Linked DNA regions of Callithrix jacchus. The protein of the gene in region 2 purifies or fractionates together with the protein of the main gene of each other region. This does not show direct contact. Links are inferred from orthologs where the notes say so. Each region holds a gene or a part of one and is shown on either strand. Other genes may lie near its edges. The genes, in order: SNX9, FASLG, CASP8 and SNX33.

Region 1 (3,563 bases), on a different chromosome or scaffold from region 2:
ATAAATGGGTATGGGTGTGTTCCAATAAAACTTTATTTACAAAATAGGTGGCAAGCCATATTTGGCCCTCCGGCTATAGTTTGCTGACTCCTGATGTAAGGCTTTGGATTTTCAGATCTGGATTGAATGAACAGTAATATTGCCATTGTCTTTCCTGTGCTATCTTACTAATTCATCTATGAGTCATTCCACATTTAGTTTTCTGCTCTTCAAAATTATTATTGGATTTCAAATTCTGACTGTTTTCCTTTAGTATAAAAACCCCACCTTAAAAAAAATTAACAGATCTCTTTTCCTCTGCTGAGCATCAAAGGGCTGATATATATTACTCATAATTCAAAGTATAAACCATTAAAAATTTTTAAAATGGAATATAACTAATATTTCTGTACAGTGTTAGGAGGTGAAGGCCAGAAAATTCTTAGTGATAGATTAGAAGTCCCTTTTCTCCAGAGGTTGAGACATAGCAACAAGGGCGGACCAGACAGAAAGGAGAGGAAAGTTCTAGTACTCTATGGTAGTCAAAGACATCTGGGCATTCAACAGCAGTGGGATCCCAGCATTTCAGGGCCTGACAAGTCATTCTGCAGCCTCTGTGCCTGAGGGGGTAACAGGGCAGCAGCCCGCAGCATTAGCCCCACAGCTGGATACATGACTGTTTTTCTATCCTGGGCCACATGTGTGGCGACAAAGCTGCATAGTTCTGGGGAATACAGGAAAAACGTTCAGCAGAACCACAGCCTACACACAAAGGAAAAAGAGGGAGGCAGGAAGCTCTCAGGGACAGGGCAGCGTGGGCAGAAAGCCGGGACTCATAGTGACACCCTCCCCTCGGCAGTGCTTCTGCTCTGACATATTTTCTATAACTAACTATACTTTTTTTTTCCTTAAAAATTATGGCTTTAGTCAAATATACAACATCTTACCAAATGAAGATTAAAAATAAAATGAGACTAAATATAGTGACAAGCACTCTCAAAACAGGCAAAAATGATAAATTTTCCGAAGATTATAAAGCCCTAAATTACTGGACCTAATTAAGTGAACATGGTGTTCCTTATGAGACTTCTTAACCTGGCTTTGTTAGTCAATTTTTTTGTGGTTTAACTTGGGTGAAGTGAGGTTAAGCAGTCACAGGAGGGACGTTACTGCCATCCACCAAACACATTTCTGTTCAAGGCATCAGGTTCCCTCTATGATCAGGGACACAAAACTGAGCCTGCATCACCACCTACAGCCCAATCGGCTGTGAGGAGTGGACTTACGCCCTGTGCACCGTTTCCAGTGCTCCTGCCCCACGGTCAGCAGCTCCTTCACACCATCATCCATGGCCTTGGTGAACTTCCCGACGGCCTCGCACTTCTGCTCTCTGTGGGCAAAGGCAGCCATCAGTCACATGAGCAGGAGAAACAGCACTGCTGTCGATCAGGGACACGTAGGCCAAACATAACCACAGACACTTGTTCTCCTGCATGGTAACAACTGCCCTGGCACTAAGTTAGCCTTAAATACAGGCTTGATACAGACGTTTGAAGAACTACTTAAAAAGCAGTTATTATTTTAACTTTGCTTCCTTTCTTCCTCTTCAATTCTTTGTGAATTTTAATTATAATTATTCTAAAGTAAATAATAACTTCTTGAATATCTCATTTAGTAAAATTCTAATCACTGGAGGGACCATCAAATCTATAAAAGAATAACGGGGTTGCTAATGCCAGCTGGTCACTCATTCCAAGTACTCCACGAAATAGACAAAAACCTGGATGCATAATCAGCTAAGTGACCCTAAAGGTACCAGTTCTTTTCTTTTTTGAGACGGAGTTTCGCTTTTGTTACCCAGGCGGGAGTGCAACGGCGCGATCTTGGCTCACTGCAACCTCCACCTCCTGGGTTCAGGCAATTCTCCTGCCTCAGCCTCCTGAGTAGCTGGGATTACAGGCACACGCCACCATGCCCAGCTAATTTTTGTATTTTTAGTAGAGACGGGGTTTCACCTTGTTGACCAGGATGGTCTCGATCTCTTGACCTCGTGATCCACCCGTCTCGGCCTCCCAAAGTGCTGGGATTACAGGTGTGAGCCACCGCACCCGGCCCAAGGTACCAGTTCTTAACAAGGATGTCAAAGCGTATTTACCAACCTGAAAAGATCACAATACTGTTAGATGAGAAAAGCAGATTATAAAACAAAATGGAGAGTGTGAGGTCATTTCTGTTTAAACAATCTTTCCTGTAATTGTGTACAGAGGAGGACTTGGGAGACTATACACTAACATATTAACACTGATTTTCTCTCTGGGTGGTTGAAGGGTTATGTTTGTGTGTGTGTGTGTGTGTGTGTGTGTGTGTGTGTGTGTGTGTGTGTTTCTTGTCTATACTTTTGGTAACACATACGCAATAATTTTATGATAAAAAAGCTTAAAATTAAAAAACACAAATTTCTTATAAGTCCTTAATAGAAAAGGAACTACTCCAAAGTTTCAACTGAGCCTGTATTTAAAAACTAAATAATAAAATCAATAGATTAACAAAAAACCACATAGAAAAAGCAGGTTAGAGACTGCCTCCTCAAGGCCATGTTCAAAGAGATTTGCTGTCTGAATACTGTGTGGGTTTTAGGCGGCTCCGTGCCGCCTGGTTTCATCACACTATTGGAAACACTACTCAACACCGTCAACTACGAAGTCACTGGCTTCAAGGTAAAAGAAGTTTAATCTGATGTTATGGTTAGAAAGACAGTACTTCTATGTACAAGCGATATTTCCCTTGTCATTGGACTACAAAGCCCACTTATTTCCTAAAACTCTAGTCTGACAATTTGAGTTTCAGCTGCGGCTATCCTGGTTGAGGCCTGAAAGCCAAAGGAGGTTGTGGATTGAGGAAAAGGAAAACCTGGCAGCGCCTCTCACATTTCTACTAGGTCCAAGTCAGGTGCCTCTGGCTCCATGGTGGAAAATACCATGACTCCCGCCAGCTCATCTCTCTCGGCCTTCCTCTTTCCAGTTTTCCATTCCTGTAAATGAGAATGTGGTAAGGTTCAAGTGGAGAGCACAGTCAAACTGGTCTCCAAAATTCCCAAACAAGACCAGTTCAGTGATCACCTTTGTCTTCCTAATTTCAGGAAGCAGCTCCCCTCTATCTCCCTCTGCACCATGGGCTAAATGCCTTTATACCCCAAATGTCATCTTAGGGCACAAACAGTGTCATGCCACAGAACGGCCCTCATGGGACCAAGTCTTTTCGAACCAATTCAGCCATGTTCCCTTTCCAATGGCTACCTACATAAATACGGCAAATAGAAACACCCTATACTTTTTTTTTTCCTGAGAAAGGGTCTCACTATGCCCGCAAGGCTGGAGTGCAGTGGTGTGATCTCAGCTTACTGTACCCTTGAACTCCCAGGTTCAAGTGATCCTCCCACCTCAGCCCCCCAAGTAGCTGGGCCGTTAGGCATGCGCCCCCATGCCTGGCTAATTTTTGTATTTTTTGTAGAGATGGGGTTTTGCCATGTTAGCCAGGCTGGTCAGGAACTCCTGGGCTGAAGCAATCTGCTCACCTCGGCCTCC
Region 2 (4,009 bases):
CAGGCACAGGCACATCTCTGATTATTTTCTTAAGATAAATTCTTAGCTATGGGATTACAACGTAAACTATTAGTTCCAAGCTTTTGATTGTATATCCAAAGTGCTCTTCAGAGAAAGCTATAGCAATTTACATGTACACTGGCTGAAACAAATGTTTGAACAGGCTCTTTTCTCTCAAATCTTTGTCAATTTGTGCTTTTTTTTAATTTTTACCAATTTGATGAAAACTTGATATTTCCTATTTTTAATTTGCATTATATTAATTTGAATCTCTTTTCTTATTAGCCATGTGATAATTTACCAATTTCTGGTCCATCTAGAGAAGATAATTGCTTACCAGGCAGATAGACCTGACTCATCTGATCATTTGACTTTTAATCACTAAACTGACTCAAGAGTGGGTGAAATATGAATAATTAGGTACCTATCAGACCAGGCACATTCCACAGATTTTCAAAATGATCTTATTTAAGACATCCTCCAGAGGCTTTATTTTTTTAACAAATATTTCCACTCTGCTTGTGTACATGTGGAAGTTCTAACATATAAGGATTAGGACACAGACACAGGAGCCAGAGCATCCAACAGTGGCTCCTACAAGAACCTAACAATCTGGGATAGCAGACAGGCGACTGGGTTGCCTGCAGTAGCCACATCCAGAGAAATGGGAACTTGCTCCACTTCTTGGCCAGTGCTGCCTTCTGCTTGCTTCTGAGTTTCTAAGGATGAGATTTACCTATTCTCTTTGCAGAGGTATTCTGCTTTTCATCTATTTCTCATTCCATGGTCACTACAGTCAGGAGTTTCCCTACTTGATGAGGCACCAGTCCATGTGCTGGAAAGCCCTGTAGGTGACAAGGCATCAAGAGCCCGTGTTCCTTCCAGCCCCAGTTCCAGACCAGTGTTCTTGGGCGTGTTCACCTAATCTGTCTGGTATTTTGTTTCTCTTCCAAAAGACAGAATGACTGGACTAGATATATTCTAAGCTTCCTTCCAACTCTAAAAATTCAATGAATCGCATTGTAAATCTAAATCTGAAATTTCAGTGAACCTTAGACTAGTGAAGTGTGCCGTAAAATCTATCTGTACAGAGCTTGCAAAACTATGCCCTGACATTTCATGAGATCAGTGTTCAACATGTCATCTTCTTGTCCTAGCTCCCATACAAAGGGTTTTCCTTTGTGATCAAGGGTACCTCATGACCGTCTCTGTGGGTGAAGCTGAATGTCCTTTGAATGATGGCTGAAGTCTTCCCCTAAGCTACTCAGTGACTTCAAGAAAAACCATCCTATTGTGGGCAATTGATTATCCTCATTAAAAGCATACATCCTATAAAATAGTTTATAAATTAAGCTTCACTGTAATCTCTTTAGAGAGTTTAAAAGAGGAGAGGACGTTTCTGAGAAACATCTATCTCTGCCTTCACCTCGCCTTCTCTTCCCAGGAGTCAAAGCCACTGGCATGTGTGCCACAACCAAGATGCCTGTGGAATGCGACAGACCTTCCTCAGGGGGCAAAGGTCCAAGTTGTGTATGTGTGTCTCCAAAGTCAAGTGAAAGTGATTTTGAATTGTGTGCTGTGCTCAGCTATACTGATTGTGAGCAATTCAATTGACTTCACATTTTTAAAGCAGCTCGAGGAATCATATTGACCAGAAATTCAGAATCAGCCAGAACTCCTCTCATAGCATACATAAGCCAAAGTGTAGGACAGAATATAAGGCATTCCATTAACATAGTTCAGTGCTGAGGATCATCTTTGGGAACTCATTGTACCCACAAAAAAAGGACTCACCTATTTGCTTCTCCACAGACGATACTGCATGCCTCTGGCTGGCAGACTAGTAAAAGAGAAAGAGAAAAGATGTATAAAAAAAATAAAACTCTTTAAGCAAAAGAGGCAGAATTGTCAAATAAACCAAGCCCTGGAAAAAGAATCCAAATACCTCAGAACTTTTGTTAACTCAGGCTTTGTCCAAGCAATTTTGCCTCACTGTCCCCCAGTTTTGTGATTTGGAATCATATCAATATTTTAAGTACTTTCAAGATTCAGTTTGGTCATCTGAACAAATTTACTTCCAAGCAAAACTTAAAAGTTTGGTTTGTTTGTTACTCCTTGAATCACTAGGTATGAGGCAGGAAGTGGTTCAACAGACTGAGTTGACACATGAGGAAAAGAAAACTGTTGGGCTCTGATGCTTTACGAAACAAAAAATATTCCCCTCACTCATGTGAACCTCCATTTCTCTGCCTATAGAATAGAATAACTAGAACAACCCATTTCTAAGGAAAAAAAAAAGAACTGAAAAGCACTTGGCAAGCCAGGCAGTGGGCCCTGCACCCCCTTATGCCAGGTGCCTCCAGGGCACGGCAGTCCACCAGCAGGCTTACCTCTCGGAGTTCTGCCAGCTCCTTCTGAAGGTGGAAGAGCTGAAACATCCCCAGTCCCAATCCTACCAAGGCAACCAGAACCATGAAAAACATCACAAGGAGACACAGGCCTGTGCTGTGGGTCCCTCCCTTCTTCAGGGGTGGCAGTGGTAATGGAGGCAATGGTGGCGGTGGTGGAGGTGGTAGTGGCGGCGGTGGTGGCGGCGGCGGTGGTCTCCTTTGGCCAGGCCTTCTGGGCACAGAGGTTGGACAGGGAAGCACTGTGCCTGGAGGGGCCCAGGGAGAGCTGGCACTGCTGTCCACCCAGTAGATCTGGGGATATGGGTAATTGAAGGGCTGCTGCATGGCAGCCGGTGACTCCAGCCAGCCCCAGCAAATGGTCTTATTTCTTCCTAATCCTGTAGAGGCTGAGGCGTCAAGGACAGGACTCCTGTTGCTGACTGCTCAAGAGAAAGGAAGCTAGATCTCTCTTATAGAGTTTCCATAGCTAAGGGAAACACCTCTCTCTCATTCTGCTTCTCAGAGAAACGCCCACTCACTTTGCATCTGAAACTGAGAAGTCTCAAGAAGCTCAGAGCAAACCCCTTGGAAGTTTCCGCCCACAATTTTCTTATGAAGGCCTTTGAAGCCCTAGGTGCTGTCGCTGGGCTACCCAAAAAGGCTGGTAGGCTGTGCTCCCCTTCCTTGGGTCCTGCAGAGCAGGTCAGCACTGGGATGTAGCCCTGTTGGTGTCAACTTCTCCCAGCTACAGGAGAATGGCCAGTGGAGATATAATTTTATGAATTATAATCGTATGCATTTTTATAAATTATCATTATATAATTTTAAGAATTCTACAATACATACAACCAAAAAACTATTTTAAAATCCCAAAATAACTCTAACAAAAATTGTTCAGAATCATATTTTTAAATCCATAAATTTTACTGCAAATGGCTCTGAGGTGAAAGACCATGAAGTCATGGCCAAAGAAGTCACTCCCACATTTTACTTTTTGCAAAAGGAAAACATCTGTTGCCATCATCCCTTCCCCACACACAAGTATCATCTACCCTGACCAGCAAATCACCATAATTTACAGAGTAAAAACCTGCTACACCCACTTTAGAAATTAGCTCAGAGGCTGCAAACCAGTGGAACCCACAGAGCTGCTTTGTATTTCACATGTTTTTCTTTTCATTGGTTGCCCACTTTATTTATTTATTTATTTAAAGAGAGACAGAGTCTCACTCTGCCACCCAGCCTGGAGTGCAGTGGTGCTACCATAGTTCACTGCAGCCTCAAAATCCTGGGCTCAAGCAGTCCTCTTGCCTCGACTCCCAAGTATCTGGGATTATAGGCATAGGTCACTACACCTGACTAATTTATTCTATTTTTTTGTAGAGATGGGGACTTGCTATGGTGCCCAGGCTGGTCTCAGCCTCCTGACTTCTAGAGATCCTCCCGCTTCAGTCTCCCAAAGTGCTGGGATTACAGACATGAGCAACTGCACTCAGCCAGCCCAACTGACCACTTTAAATATTGATACTAAAAATATTATATATTTTTAAATACACATTAAAAAAATATTTCTATTCTCTTTTGAAACATCAGAATGTCGGACACCCTCAAGGCCATGG
Region 3 (3,563 bases), on a different chromosome or scaffold from region 2:
ATCACTCTAATCAGAAAGCATACTTGATTAATCGCCTATAGTCCCAGCACTTTCAGAGGCCCAGGTAGGTGGGCGGCTTGAGCCCAGGAGTTCAAGACCAGCCTGGGCAACATAGCAAAACCCCATTTCTACAAGAAATACAAAAATTAGCCAGGCATGGTGGCATGTTCCTGTGGTCCCAGCTACTCAGGGGGTTGAGGCCAGAGGATTGTTTGAGTCAGGGAGGTCGAGGCTATCGTGAGCCAAGATTACACCACTGCACTCCAGCCTGGAAACAGAATGAGACACTGACTCAAAAAAAAAAAATTGATTAATCAAAATTTTGAAGGAGATCATTTAACCAAGGAACTTATGGAAAATAATTTAAATCCAGCTACTCAGTGCATAACACAAGCAGCACATGTCAGGGACAAACACACACACACACACACACACAGAAAAAATGATGTTCAATTACTTATTACTGACTAACTCTGCACCTATTTCAAACTTGCCAGCCTGGGCTGCAGAGTCTGTGCCTTGTGACAACTTTTCACATTATTCAATGTATAGAGAAGGACTACAAGTCACCAGTGAACTGTTATCCTGGTATTAGGAGAGTAGGCATGGCTAGGCGTGGTGGCTGATGCCTGTAATCCCAGCACTTTGGGAGGCCAAGGCAGGCAGATCACCTGAGGTCAGGAGTTCAAGACCAGCCTGGCCAACATGATGAAACCCAATCTCTACCAAAAATACAAAATTAGCTGGGCTTGGTGGTGCATGTCTGTAATCCCAGCTATTCAGGAGGCTGAGGCAGGACAATCGCTTGAACCTGGGAGGTGGAGGTTGCAGTAATCATGTCACTACACTCCAGCCAGGGTGACAGAGCAAGACTCAGTCTCAAAAAAAAAAAAGAGAGAGAGAGCAGTGCATGTGGTAGAAGGTTGTGGGGAGGAAACACGCAGGTACCAGAGAGTAAATTAACTAAATAAACCTTGAAAATATATCTCCAAGCATTACCATTTGAAGATTCATCTGAACTTCTTTCAAGGCTCATTCTTCTCTCTGAATTAAAAGAGGAAACCAACAACAGTACTTGATTAGAAACAACTGTGACATGGAGGGATTTGTCAGTTTCAATTTTACAGTAGGTTTTGCCGATTCCCGGCTGTCAAGTTGTTTCTACCTCTGCTGAATTCTTCATAGTCGTTGATTATCTTCAGCAGGCTCTTGTTGATTTGGTCACAGACTCTTTTCAGGACATCCAACTTTTCTTCTCCCAGGATGACCCTCTTCTCCATCTCTATGAAAATATCCAGCAGGTTCTAGGAGGAGAAGAAATAAAGTTGGGAGTCTGGATTGAGCTCCACTGGTTTTTAGATTAGATTCTTTTTAAACTTCCACTTTCTCCAACCAAGGACCTGCCCTTTCTTCCCAAGCAGACCTCCTGACAGTTTCTGCTGGCCTCTCATAGCCAGCAGGCTGCTAGGTAAGCAATCCCATGTTTTCTGGCCCAGAAAGACAGAAGTAAGAGGATAAAGGAGAAGCCATGTCAGATGTCACCCAGTCCCCAGGCCCTGAGCTCAAATCTCCTATGAATGCATTACCTGAGGACTGTGAAACAGTCCTAGACAGCAATCCAGTCACCATGGTGACAGCCTTGGGATGGCCTCACCCCCAACATTGCCTCTCCAGAACTGAGTACACAAAGACACATAGATGCAGATATCACATGAACATACACACACAGATGCACACAACACACACAGACAACATTCAGTGATACACACACAGAGACATAAATGCAAATACACACTATGCAACATGCACACAGACACACATACCACAGAGAGAACACACAGAGATACACCACTTATACAGAGACACACAAAGATACACCACGCACAAATACAGACACACACCATACACAGAGAAAGGCACACACAGACACAGAGATACACACACAGCATACAGACATACACAACACACACAGAGACACAAAACACAAACACACACACAGACACAATATACACCCAGAGTTCCAGGTCCCAGGTTATTCTGGGGACTGCAGAAGTGGGGAAATGTCTCAGATCACCACTGTCCCTCTCGCCTCTGCCGAGTCTCACTCTGGGCTGCCCCTTGCACAACAGCCTCCTCTCCCAGCCCCTGACTCAACCTTGCTACCAGTAATTAACAGGAGCAGTACTTGAGGATAAAGGAAGCACATTTGTAACACTTGTGCTGACAGCTTTCTTATTCTAGTTAAAAAGTGAGAATCCAGGTTGCTTTTACCAAAATAGCCCCTCACTTTGGTCTCAGAAATGTCCCTGGCTAACCAAGTTTCGGGACTAAATCTCAGTAAGATACCAGATCTTACCATGTCATCATCCAGTTTGCATTTGGAGATCTCCTTTTTCAAAAGAAACTTAAAAGACCTCAATTCTGATCTGCTCACATCTTCTGAAATCTGATAGAGCATGACCCTGTGGTGGGAAATGGAGACACTTTAGAAACCTTTTCCTAAGTAATGTCCCATTTGATATATGGAGTCAGAGTGGGCTTGATTCCAAAGGCCTCCCTTCAAAATAAAGCCAGTTAATGGCATGGTTTACGAGTTGAGTCCTTGGAAAGAGGCAGGTATATAGCGACACAGAAGTCTACGACTCCTCCCCAACTATCCCACCCTTAACAATTTAAAGTTCTATCAACTTTTCTTTCAGTTTATTTTAGTTAAATTAATCTTGTTTTCCTTTATTTTTTTTCTATGAAATCAAGATTTTGTTGCAACAGCAAAAAGTTTTCAAAGGACACATTGGCCTGTGGCATCGCTAACTAAAATTGGTCAGTGTTCTCCCAGTCATTACCTTCGGTAAGAAGGCCAAGCATTTGGTTCTGGAATACAAAGTCTCTGAATACATCTTTATCACAGACCAGACCACAAACACTAAAGGACCTGAAGCTCCAAACACACCCAGCTTGCCCTGCCCTCACCCCTTTCTGCTGTGCCCCCACACCCCATCCCCTTGTCTATCCGCAGACACCCATCCATGAACAACAGCTCAAGCATTGCCTGAGCATCCTCAAGGCTGCATTCATTCCACTATGACTTAGTATCCCCAGAAGGATAACACATATAATTGTCTTTTGGCCTGGTACAGTGGTTCACACCTATAATTCCAGCACATTAGGAGGCCAAGGCAAGAAGAAGATCGCTTGAGCCCAGGGGTTTGAGACCAGCCTGGGCAACATAGCAAGTTCCCATCTCTACCAAAAATGTTTAAAAATCAGCCAGGTGTGATGGCATGCACCCATGGTCCTAGCTACTCCTGAGGATGAGGTGGGAAGATCACTTGAGCCCAAGAGGTTGACACTGCAGTGAGCTGTGATCATGCCACTGCACTAAAAATAAAATAAAAATAAAAACAAAAAATAATTGTCTGTTTAGAAACTGTCCAAGTCCCTAATGGCCAGGTCCATGCCCTTTTTGTTTTCATTAACCCAGAGGGTTGTGAGGTGCAATGTTTGAGTACAGAGGACCCAGGCTATTGGTGTTGGAGCCTTGGTTCTACCATCTTTGAGCAGCG
Region 4 (4,116 bases), on a different chromosome or scaffold from region 2:
TGTTTGCTTGTCACAATACACCTGAGCTTTTGGAAGGTAAGGATAATGTCTTATTTCTTTGTGGCTCAGGGGCCTGGTGCAGAGTAGGTAGGTACTCAATGTTTCTTGAGTGTCTAACTTGACTGAATGAATGAATGAGACAGAATGGATTGATTAAAGACAAGACAGGGTGGACTGTAAGCCCTCCAGGGTGGGAACCCCGACTGCCTGTGATGTACTCCCCAGTGCTCAGCACAGTGCCTAGCAGAGTCAGTGCCGGAAGTGTTCCAGATACACTGACCCAGGGTCAGACCCCACTTGCCTCTTCTCTAAGATTCTCTACCCGACCACCTCTCCTTGCTGCTGCTGGCTGTGACAGAACATGCAGTCCCTGCTGCCCACTCAGCAACCCAGAACCGGGTCGCACCTAGACTTGTTCCCTGTCGCTGCAGATGTAGGGTAGTCTGTTCCCCACTACCCCCCCACCCCCCCCGCCGCCCCAGCCCAGGTAGTCGCCCAGGGCAGGGTCTCCCGGTCTGCTAGGGTGCTGCACCCGCAGCTATCGGTCTCTTAGGTCAGATGCCGGGAAGCGCAGGCGGTTTCTGCCCCTCCGGAAAACAGTCTCCGAGCTGCGCCACCATCCCGTCTCGGCGGAGCAGGAGTGGGGAATGGGAAGGTGGGAAGGCGAGTCCGCGACTCTGCTCCCCCACCCCAGCTGGCGCAGCTTTCCACGCACCCCCCGATCGCCCGATCCTGGCTCTGGCGGGTGCTCCTTGCAGCCCCACGCTTTGCAAACTTTCTGAGTTTTACTCCATTTGCGTCACGGAAAAGGCAGGAGGATGACGGAGTCCAGGAAGCGAGGCAGCGGCGGCTGGCACGCTCCCCCGCCGGGCGCTCCAATCATGGGGGCGTGAGGTGTCTCCGGCGAAGGCCCACAAGCAAAGGGAGAGCCGGAGAGGCGGCGGTCCCAGGGAGCAGCCCCGGAGGCTCTCGGGCCCCCTGGTTCCCGGGTCGTCTCCTCCCTCTCGCCTTCCTGACTGAGCGCCAGTGAGCCAGGGCGCCGGCCAGATGGGAAGCCGCGCGGAGGAGTAGGCGGGGGCTCGGCTGTAGCGCCCCGGGCCCGCGGGAGGGCGGAGCCGGCCGTCCCTGCCCCGCTGGGACGCACGGAAGCGCGGCGGAGTTTGCCCGAGTCTCCAGCCTGCTTTCCCCTCCCTCCTCCCTCTCCCCACCCCTCACCTCCCCTTCGGCTATCCCCTCCTTCCTCAGGACGCCACCTCCCGGAATCGCCTTTTTGTTTTGGAGCTGCCGTCTCGCTGGCGGCGCCTAGGGTCTGCGAGCGCGGGGGAAGGCCGGCTGGGGGCGCAGCCCGCCCCCCACTGACTGGGCCCCGCGAGGCCGAGCAGAGGACGGACGGACGGCCCCGCCATCTGCTCGCCGGGGCTCACTCTCCAAACTCCTGTTGAGTGTTTGTGTGCACGCGAGGGTGGGGGGCGGGGGGCGTACGTCCCGGGGGCGGGACCGGTTTCTGCTGGGGTTACCTTTGGACGGGGTTCCTGGGATTCAGAGCAGGGTCAGCGTCAGGCTCAGAAACTGCTGAGGAATTGGGCAAACAAAAGAGACCACTCAGCGAGTGGCCAGAAGTCGCCGGAGCGCCTCGTCGCGCCCCCTCCCTCCTCCGGGGTTGGAGCTGGCCACTTTTGGGGCGGGGAGAGGGCGCCCGAGCTGGCGGGGGCTCCGGCTGCGCAGCCGGGGTCGAAGAGTTGGCGGCCTGTTGTGTAAGCCTCAGTCCTTGTTTTCCCGGCCTGGCTCGTTGTGAAGCCGGACACATCACCCTTGGACTCGATTCAGGAGGCTGCTGCTTTTCTCCTTGCCCCTCTTTGATTTTCCGGATTTTTGAAAACCCAGTGGCCCAGGAGCAAGAGGAGGAGGAAGGAGGAAGGGGCAGATCTGCAGAGGAATGTGAGAGCCTCCCAAAGCCAGAGCGGCCAAAAGGATCTGGGAGCCAGTGGGACAGCCGAGCCCTGCCCGGGTTTCTGGAATGGTGATTTCCGAGTGAGTCTCTTCTATTTTAGAGCGTTGTTCCAGTGGAAAGTGTAGAATTCTTCCCCTTGCAGAGCAGGTTTCTTCAGGTCACTTGATTTTTCTGCTGGGAGTGGGAGGAAGGAGAGACTCCCTTCTAACTCCCTGGGGGCTGATAAGGGAGGAGGAGACTGGACATGAGCCCTCCCTGCTCACAGACCTATGCCCGAAGACCTGATAGGGCAATTTCTGGGCCATGGACATTGCTTTGAAGAGCAGGAGGCTGGACAGCATCTGTGGGTGCTGAGACCCCACCTTAGGGCCTGAGAGGCAGGCTGAGCTGTGTGAGTGGCATCAGCCGCGAGTACGTTCCTGGACGTCCTTGTGAGCATCCCGGGTCTGGGCAGGACCCCCTTCTTCCCATCTTTCTTCACCACCCAGCCCAGCCATGGCACTGAAAGGCCGAGCCCTCTATGACTTTCACAGTGAGAACAAGGAGGAAATCAGCATCCAGCAGGATGAGGACCTGGTCATCTTTAGTGAGACCTCTCTGGATGGCTGGCTGCAGGGCCAGAACAGTCGTGGGGAGACAGGGCTCTTTCCTGCGTCTTATGTGGAGATTGTCCGTTCCGGCATCAGTACAAACCATGCTGACTATTCCAGCAGCCCTGCAGGCTCTCCCGGGACCCAGGTGAGCTTATACAATAGCAACACTGTGGCCAGCCCAGCCAGGAGTGGTGGGGGCAGCGGCTTCCTCTCAAACCAGGGTAGCTTCGAGGAGGATGATGATGATGACTGGGATGACTGGGACGACGGATGCACGGTGGTGGAGGAGCCACGGGCTGGTGGGCTGGGCACCAACGGGCACCCTCCCCTCAACCTCTCCTACCCTGGTGCCTACCCCAGCCAGCACATGGCCTTCCGGCCCAAGCCACCGCTGGAGCGGCAGGACAGCCTGGCATCTGCCAAGCGAGGCAGTGTGGTGGGCCGTAACCTCAACCGTTTCTCATGCTTTGTGCGTTCTGGAGTGGAGGCCTTCATCCTGGGTGATGTGCCCATCATGGCCAAGATCGCTGAGACATACTCCATTGAAATGGGCCCTCGTGGCCCCCAGTGGAAGGCCAACCCCCACCCATTTGCCTGCTCTGTGGAGGACCCCACCAAACAGACCAAGTTCAAGGGCATCAAAAGCTACATCTCCTACAAGCTCACACCCACCCATGCTGCCTCACCGGTCTACCGGCGCTACAAACACTTTGACTGGCTCTATAACCGCCTGCTACACAAGTTCACTGTCATCTCGGTGCCCCACCTGCCTGAGAAGCAGGCCACAGGCCGCTTCGAGGAGGACTTCATTGAAAAGCGGAAGCGGAGACTCATCCTCTGGATGGACCACATGACCAGCCACCCTGTGCTCTCCCAGTACGAAGGCTTCCAGCATTTCCTCAGCTGCCTGGATGACAAGCAGTGGAAGATGGGGAAACGCCGGGCGGAGAAGGATGAGATGGTGGGTGCCAGCTTCCTGCTCACCTTCCAGATCCCCACGGAGCACCAGGACCTGCAGGACGTGGAAGATCGCGTGGACGCCTTCAAGGCCTTCAGTAAGAAGATGGACGACAGCGTCCTGCAGCTCAGCACTGTGGCGTCAGAGCTGGTGCGCAAACATGTTGGGGGCTTCCGCAAGGAATTCCAGAAGCTGGGCAGTGCCTTCCAGGCCATCAGTTATTCCTTCCAGATGGACCCCCCCTTTTGCTCTGAGGCCCTCAATAGTGCCATTTCTCACACGGGCCGCACCTATGAAGCCATCGGTGAGATGTTTGCTGAGCAGCCCAAGAATGACCTCTTCCAGATGCTGGACACGCTGTCTCTCTACCAGGGCCTGCTCTCCAACTTCCCTGACATCATCCACCTGCAGAAAGGTAAGGCCCAGTGCAGGCGGGACACCCATCCTGAGTCTGGCTCTCTGCTGGGCCCTGGGGAGAAGGGGATGGCCTGGATAGAATGGAGCAACTCGTCTTTATTTCTCTCTCAGTCATTCATTTAACAAATGTGTTGGGCTGGGCACGGTGGCTCACACTTGTAATCTCAGCACTTTGGGAGGCTGAAGTAGGAGCATTG

What was found.
Region 1: the proteins of FASLG (region 2) and SNX9 purify together in Homo sapiens (co-immunoprecipitation; 3 studies listed by BioGRID and IntAct, with this or other methods). This does not show direct contact. The link is inferred for Callithrix jacchus from reciprocal best matches to the Homo sapiens genes FASLG and SNX9.
Region 3: the proteins of FASLG (region 2) and CASP8 purify together in Homo sapiens (co-immunoprecipitation; 8 studies listed by BioGRID and IntAct, with this or other methods). This does not show direct contact. The link is inferred for Callithrix jacchus from reciprocal best matches to the Homo sapiens genes FASLG and CASP8.
Region 4: the proteins of FASLG (region 2) and SNX33 purify together in Homo sapiens (co-immunoprecipitation; 3 studies listed by BioGRID and IntAct, counting the BioPlex papers as one, with this or other methods). This does not show direct contact. The link is inferred for Callithrix jacchus from reciprocal best matches to the Homo sapiens genes FASLG and SNX33.

What each region holds. Positions count from the first base shown.
Region 1 is NC_133505.1:164,754,529-164,758,091, reverse strand, and holds part of SNX9 (sorting nexin-9), read right to left. Parts: intron 3,011-3,563; coding exon 2,907-3,010; intron 1,370-2,906; coding exon 1,266-1,369; intron 1-1,265. UniProt on the Homo sapiens protein: Involved in endocytosis and intracellular vesicle trafficking, both during interphase and at the end of mitosis. Required for efficient progress through mitosis and cytokinesis. Required for normal formation of the cleavage furrow at the end of mitosis.
Region 2 is NC_133519.1:30,108,644-30,112,652, forward strand, and holds the start of FASLG (tumor necrosis factor ligand superfamily member 6), read right to left. Parts: upstream 2,837-4,009; 5' UTR 2,736-2,836; coding exon 2,391-2,735; intron 1,841-2,390; coding exon 1,795-1,840; intron 1-1,794. UniProt on the Homo sapiens protein: Cytokine that binds to TNFRSF6/FAS, a receptor that transduces the apoptotic signal into cells. Involved in cytotoxic T-cell-mediated apoptosis, natural killer cell-mediated apoptosis and in T-cell development.
Region 3 is NC_133507.1:122,364,690-122,368,252, reverse strand, and holds part of CASP8 (caspase-8), read right to left. Parts: intron 2,463-3,563; coding exon 2,357-2,462; intron 1,305-2,356; coding exon 1,166-1,304; intron 1,045-1,165; coding exon 1,000-1,044; intron 1-999. UniProt on the Homo sapiens protein: Thiol protease that plays a key role in programmed cell death by acting as a molecular switch for apoptosis, necroptosis and pyroptosis, and is required to prevent tissue damage during embryonic development and adulthood.
Region 4 is NC_133509.1:22,572,112-22,576,227, forward strand, and holds the start of SNX33 (sorting nexin-33), read left to right. Parts: upstream 1-1,272; 5' UTR 1,273-2,446; coding exon 2,447-3,917; intron 3,918-4,116. UniProt on the Homo sapiens protein: Plays a role in the reorganization of the cytoskeleton, endocytosis and cellular vesicle trafficking via its interactions with membranes, WASL, DNM1 and DNM2. Acts both during interphase and at the end of mitotic cell divisions.